Ovis aries: one gene and its partner. The protein of the gene in region 2 purifies or fractionates together with the protein of the main gene of each other region. This does not show direct contact. Links are inferred from orthologs where the notes say so. Each region holds a gene or a part of one and is shown on either strand. Other genes may lie near its edges.

Region 1 (3,545 bases), on a different chromosome or scaffold from region 2:
AAAAGTGTATCTAACAGAGTGTTGTGACTGTCCATTTTCAGACTGCCCTGGCACACTTAGAGTCTCTCGCAGTGGATGTGGAAGTGGCCAATCCACCAGCCAGTAAGGAGAGCATTGATGGTCTTCCAGAGACCCTTGTGCTTGAAGATCACACTGGTAAGAGCAAAGTTTATCTCGAATAAACGTGTCAGATGGCACGTTGCGTATTCAAGTATGTCAGCCAGGGCACATAGAAGACAAGAGTACTGTCAGACATTTTCATTAGATTCTCTGTGAAACTCAGCTCCGACGAACTTACCTAATGGGATGTTCAAGTTCATCAGGTAGCAGGTTGGGCAGATGCTCTCCAGTCAGCCTTTCTACAAAAGCAGTGTTTGTTAAGTTCTGAATTGTCATGCATTAAGCAGAAATGCATTGCCAATTAATTGATCAAATCCTGGTTCTTTCATCTTCTGTAGTTAGCATTTATGAATTAGTGTGTTGGATTTCAACTTTATTAAAACGGAACTTGGTGGGATTGATGAGTCGCATCATCTGTTTTCAGCTATCGGTCAGGAGCAGTGCTGCCCAATCTGCTGCAGTGAGTATATTAAGGACGACATAGCGACGGAGCTGCCCTGCCACCACTTCTTTCACAAACCTTGTGTCTCGATTTGGCTGCAAAAGGTGAGCTGCAGGTTTACTTGTTTAGAATTAATATTTTAATAATTTCTTCTACAAGTTAATGAAGTTAAGTTAGTGTTTTTTAAGCCCGTTAGCTGTGTACTCAAAATATTTTTTAATTTAGTGTTTCAAATTGGTTACCTTTTAAAGATTACAGATTAACGGTAATATCAAGCTATTTTACCTTACTAAAGAGTGAGTCGCTCAGTCGTATTCATCTCTCTGTGACCTCATGGACTGTAGCCTGCCAGGCTCCTCTATCCATAGGATTTCCCAGGCAAGAACACTGGAGTGGGTTGCCATTTCCTTCTCCAGGGGATCTTCTTACCCAGGGATTGAACCTGGTTCTCCTGCACTGCAGGCAGATTCTTTACTGTCTGAACCGTCAGGGAATCCCTTTAACTTACTAACATTTTCTAAAAAACAATGAGAGAAAATGATGTTAGGATAAAACTAGTTAGATCTTTGATTGTATTTCTGAAATCGGATGTTTTCAAAAATATCTTAAGCTGGGAAGTCTTTGGGACTACTCAGAGTACTGTAACATTGTACAGATATTCTGCTAACATGAGACGGTATCTCTAAAAATGAGGATAAACAAGGTCTTCCTGTGTCGCATAGGCAGCTGTAGTTAATATCCTGTTAGGAACCGTAATGGAAAGTAATATGGGAAAGAACACACGGATTCGCCGTATAGTAGAAATTAACATTCTACATCAACTGTGCTTCAATAAAATATTTAAAATGTAAAGTGAAAATGTGTTTGATAAATATTTAATAACCTACCAAGTACCTCTGGTGCGATTTTTATATACTGTGTTTTAATGTTCACCCAATAATTTTTAAGTATATTTGAATTACTTAAAAAAGTATTCTTTAAATCTCAGTGAACTCTGTTCTCCCATAAAGGATATTTACATGCAGTTCAGTGGAAGCTTTCCCAGCTTGGTTACTTCCGGATACGGCGCTCCGTCTCCTCCGTGACTGCTTCCTTTGGTCGCCTCTCTCTCTCACATCCACCCTCTCCGTCCTCCCTTTTCTTTCCCTTCTTTTGCTTTGGTCTTGGTCCCCTTCTACTGCCGCTTCATCTCTGTCAAAATTCGAGTTACTATCTCTCAAATCCAGTGCAGAAGTGTTCATTATTCCTTTCTAATACCCAAAGTTTCTGCCTAGGCTTTCCAGGCCTTCTGGGACCTGGTCTGTCCTTCAGATTTACTCCTCAGTACCTTTACTCATGCCTAGCCTGGTGCGAGCATCTCCTCGCTGTAAACAGAGAGGTTCTGGGGAGGTCCGGCTTGCGTTCGCCTTTTCTGTTCTCGGCATCCCTTCCGTTAAACGCCCGCAATGGTGTCAGAGCCGCAAGGAGGGCCTCGTGTGGTCTCTGCTGCTGCGTGTCCCTCCTGGGTGGCGCACGCGCGCTTCCCCGCTCCATCCTGGCAGCTCGGGGACACGTTGGTGTCCTCACTCACGTCTCTGGGTAGCTGTCACTCCCGCAAGGCTCCGCGGCTGGAGTGCTCGGCGGAGACTGGGCTCCTCTGTGTGGCTCTCAGGTGTTGCTCTTCGGCTCCATCTCCGTGGCAGGTGCACGGTGCCTGTTTGCTGAATTAAGTTCTTGAGTTGTACATATTACTTATGTTGTACAGTCTTGAATTGTGAATGATTTTGCCTTAACCCAAGGTCGTAGTTTCTTTATTCTCTTTCCTGTCAGGAAGCAGCATAGTGTGAAGCCTTTCCTCTGGGGAGAAGGTTCCCAAGATTCATATCTTTGTCACCTTCAAAAGCATGATTTCTTCAACCTATTTTCTATCGGGGAGATCTCTGGGAAAAAGAAGATTTGTGAGGGGATTATCTATTGCCAGGTGGCAATCTCTGTAATCTGCCGTTGGTCCTAAAACCATGCACTCCCAGTCTAGCTGCTTTCCCTGGTCCACCTTCCCTCATTGATTTGTTTTATTATTCAGAAGGCACCTAACTCTTCTTAACTTTCTGAAAAGGAAGTATATGGCTTATAAAGAAGGGCTGCAGTCCATCTGCTCTGACGTATCTGTACCACACTAGAGTGAGGTTTTACTATATATGTGGAAGATCCTAGGGGGCTGATTTGATGTAATAAATACGTGAATTAAGTAGGTCCCTGGTTTCTCTTAATACATACATCATAGATGCATAATAATTCACTTTAGAGGAGGACGTGCCCTGCGACTCCAGCTCACCCCTGTGGCGCCAGTGCTAAGTGGAGAGGAGAGTAGATGCCCAGTGAGTAGATGAGTGACCTGTAACACACAGAACTGATGGGGAGACATTGGTCCCCTCAGGGAAGTCGAGAGTCTGACTGGGATGAGGGGAGAGTGCCTCAGAATTCTGCTTCTCTGTATTCGTGGATTGGCGTTCATTTGTTTTTACATTATTTGACTTTTTTAGGATAATGCTCCTGTTCTGATACTTCATAGCAGTTCAGACCTTTCCGTTTGTTGGCTGCGAACTTGCTTTTTCTCTCCCTCCATTTTTCTCTCTCCAGTCCGGGACCTGCCCCGTGTGCCGCCGCCACTTCCCACCTGCTGTGATGGAAACGCCCGCCGCTGCCTCCTCTGAGCCTGATCGTGACACCCCCCCTGCGAGTGACAGTGCTGCAGAAGCCCCCTAAGCCTTCCCACTTGAATGAGATCAGTCTATCAAAGTAAATCTGCAGATTCCTTCTAAATCTGATGTGCAAATAATTATATATAAATATATTAAAAATGCTATATATAGTCTATGCCATAGTTTAGAAAGAGAATATTAACCTTTCTAAACTTAAGTTTAGGTTTGCAGAAAGTGCTAAACGTTTTCAAGCTGAATGTTGAAGTAGTGCATCCGTTCTCTTTAGTTTAACATGTTATTAA
Region 2 (3,652 bases):
GTGTGTGTGTAAAATCTTTTTAGAGTTATAAATTCCCAAAAGTAAATTTTTCTATTTATAGTCTAAACTGTAAATAGAACTTCCTGGGAGTTCCCTGGCAGTCCAGTGGTTAAAACACGCTTCCAATGCAGGGGCTTAGAGTTCGATCCCTGACTGGGGAGCTAAGATTCCCCACAGGCTGCATGACAGGGCCAAAAAAACAAGAAACAAACTTGTTGCTGTTAATTTTAGGGGGAAATTCTCCAGTGTTAAACAAGTAAAATTCAACTTTGATTTAGTGTCATCTTCCATAACTTGTCACTTGTGCCTGCTATTCTAAGGCAGTCAGCAAAAGTGTGGTATGAAGATACCTCACATACTTAGGTTTGGGTGGTTTTTTTCCCTTGCATTTTTGAAATATATATATGGATAGAAGCTTGTATTTGTGAATTTGTGTATTGGAGATGTTCATGGCATTGTCTAAATTTTTCTGCTATTTATTTTCCTCTTACTGATAAAGACTGATTGAGACATATATATATTACAGGTGTCCCATTTCCTAAAAACTTTATGTCTGTGGCAAAGACCATTCTAAAGCGTCTGTTCAGGGTTTATGCCCATATTTATCACCAGCACTTTGATTCTGTAATGCAGCTGCAGGAGGAAGCCCACCTCAACACCTCCTTTAAGCACTTTATTTTCTTCGTTCAGGTAAGTTGAATTTGGTGTGTCCTTTGACATGGACGTATTTGAATCGGTAATTAATAAAGAGTATTTATAATGTCTTATTTATAGATATAGAGGTAAGCATGCAGAGTTCTTCTGTTTTATTCCCTTTTTCTTGTTTAGTTCTTTGATGTACATAACAGAATAGAAGGCCTCACCCCCATTTGGGGCCTTTTGCCTCTGGAGAGACCTGCCCTCTGATTGGAATATGGCATGAAGCACCAAACACCCAGGGAAGCTTATCAACACCCTCATGTCCCATTGCCACCGCTGAATAAAGGGATGCCATGGGGAAAACATCTAGGGTTGTGTCATTTCATGAGATGTCTATGCCTGGAGGAGAAACTTTTGGAAAAACTCGTTAGCTACTACTATCTTGAGTTAAGTTTCCAGAAGTCTACTTCAGGCCGAATCTTACAAAATTGGCAGCTAGAAACGTCACAAAGAACTACCTCCTTCAGAGGTGTGGCCTATTTCCTTATGGGCCCTTAGTTGAAATTAGAACTTTTTAAAGTAAAAATAATTCACATTGTTTGAAAAAAATGATCAAAGAATAGGGACTCCTTAGCCTAACTTTAGAAATATCTCTCTATAGCTATTTTGATGGGAAAATCAGTAGCTTTTAGAGTAGATACTATATATCCAGTTCTGTGTACCACACATAGGAGGATGTACTGTGGTTTCTTTTTTGTCTTTCTTAGAGATTTTTGCCTGTCATAGATAGTATGTAGATGTAGGTATGGAGGCCACTGTCAAGTCCCTTGTATTTTAAAATAGGGAGTAAAAATGATCCTCTTTTAAAATATTCATAGAGATTATTTCATCATTCTTTTGGATTTCAGAAAGCTAGAGTTGGGAATCCTTTCTCTGAGTGACAGAGTTTTAATTTTAGATCTACTTTCTAATTTTATTTTTCTTCTTTTTTTAGGAGTTTAATCTGATTGATAGGCGTGAGTTGGCACCTCTTCAGGAATTAATTGAGAAGCTTGGATCAAAAGACAGATAAATTTTTCTTCTGGAACAGTACCTTCTTGCTTCATCTACTGCTAGAGCTATCTCATTGCTTTCTGTTATAGACTAGTGATACAGACTTTAAGGCAGGATAAAAAGACACCAATTGTCTGTCTACTGATAAAATTGTCCCAAAGGTAGGTTGGCCTAATACCTTCAGAGAGAAATTCAGGACATGGCTGAATTCGAGGCACTGTATGATCACTGCTGTTACTACCGCAGAGTCATTTTTGGTTGTAGTATATGAGGACTAACTTGTAGTTTATTAGTTTAGTTATTCATTTACTGAAGAAGATGACTGAAGTCTGATTCAGGTAACAGCATGATGGATATAAAATATTTCTACCAATTTGTTAACAAGCTTCAGAACAAATTTCCTAATAATGCAATCAGATCAGTTTTATTCTGCTTTTATTTTACAAATAGAAGAGGCATTTTGAAATTTTCTTTAGATTAAAAACATTTGTGTTACTTTGGATAACCTTTTAGTTTGAAGTTTGTATGCTCTTTTTTTAATAGGTTATATACATGTATTTTTTTTCAAAATCCACGATTACAGTTTAAATCGTCGTAAGACATGGTATGGGAGCAACCAGAGTTATTTCTAAAATGACTTTATTTTTTAATGTTTATTTGGGATTTTATTCACAGCCTATCTAGATTTTTAGTGTGTATCAAAGAATTTTTTTAAGGCATCTAAGAATTAATTTTCTTGCAGATTTTTATTTTGAAAAGCTTCATTCAGATTAATTTTAATATGTAGGTTTTGGCTGAGAAAAGGGAGACTTCCAAAAAAATTATAACAAATTTTGGTCTCAAAAACCATTATTTTCATTCATGTTTTTGGTTTTGGAGGCCTTGAAATTTGGATAGGAGAAGAGAAGAAAGTACTCGAGTACTTGATTATTTTGTTTTGAGTTTTCCATAAATAGAAACTACTTCTGTGTATTTTTATTGTGTCTTGAAACTTAGTTAAGAGTAGTGTAGAAATGCATGAACTTTATCCCAATAAGGTTAAAACATAAGGAAAACCGTAATTAAAAACCTTAAAGGTATGCACATTTTATAACCCAGCTCAAAGTTTGGTGTGCTACATGTTCTTTCATGTGTGTGTGTGTGTGTGTGTGTGTGTGTGTGTGTGTCGGGGGTAGGGGGGTATATGTTTAAAGGACACGAAAATGGGATAAGTAAAAAAAACTTCATTCTGTTAATAGTCAAAGGATGGATTGGCATTTAATTTGTTTTAATTGTTTTTGTATCAAAACTTGAAATTATTCTGTTGGGGTAAAAAGAATCTCCTTAGTGAAGAAAAGATCTAAGTTTCGTTAGATTTTTCAGATCGAGACTGAAGTGTATTGAGGCACACATATTACTAAAGACTTGCCAGACTGGCAACACTTGAAGTTCATCAACATTTGTTTCAGAGCTATGATTTTTGCAAAGTACTCACCATGTTCCTTGATACCTTTGGTTAAGGTTAAATTTTGAAGGTTTTTTTTGTTATTTATTTTTATTATTCTACTAGATTGTAAAGAAAAAATGACTTGGAAACTCCATTTTTGTAATAACTCAATTTCAATAAATTCTTAAATATATATAGAATTTTAAAGGAAACAAAACATTTTATCTAATTTAGGCTGAAACCATACATCATTGTTTTGGGAAATAGTGGGAAAATCTCTTATTAAAAAAAGTCCTCCAAGAAACATTCCATAATCCTCATTTTAAGATTATCCGAAAGAATCATCAGGCATTCTGTATGTTTATGTTGATCATTTCCAAACAAGAAGATTTTTAGAATGTTAGGATGTTACTGCCTCTTGACTTTTAACATTGTTGGCTTTAATTAAGTCTGCTAGGAATGAAATATTTCTCAAGTAAGATTATATTTTTATCATTTCTAATATTTCAAGTATCATCAAATAAAAGTGTTCTT

Evidence for each region. Proteins that work in one complex are often made in the same cells at the same time.
Region 1: the proteins of MOB1A (region 2) and PJA2 purify together in Homo sapiens (affinity purification with western blotting; 3 studies listed by BioGRID). This does not show direct contact. The link is inferred for Ovis aries from reciprocal best matches to the Homo sapiens genes MOB1A and PJA2.

Annotation. Positions count from the first base shown.
Region 1 is NC_056058.1:105,931,407-105,934,951, reverse strand, and holds part of PJA2 (E3 ubiquitin-protein ligase Praja-2), read left to right. Parts: intron 1-41; coding exon 42-156; intron 157-544; coding exon 545-666; intron 667-3,181; coding exon 3,182-3,307; 3' UTR 3,308-3,545.
Region 2 is NC_056056.1:95,981,644-95,985,295, reverse strand, and holds part of MOB1A (MOB kinase activator 1A), read left to right. Parts: intron 1-526; coding exon 527-690; intron 691-1,633; coding exon 1,634-1,711; 3' UTR 1,712-3,652. UniProt on the Homo sapiens protein: Activator of LATS1/2 in the Hippo signaling pathway which plays a pivotal role in organ size control and tumor suppression by restricting proliferation and promoting apoptosis.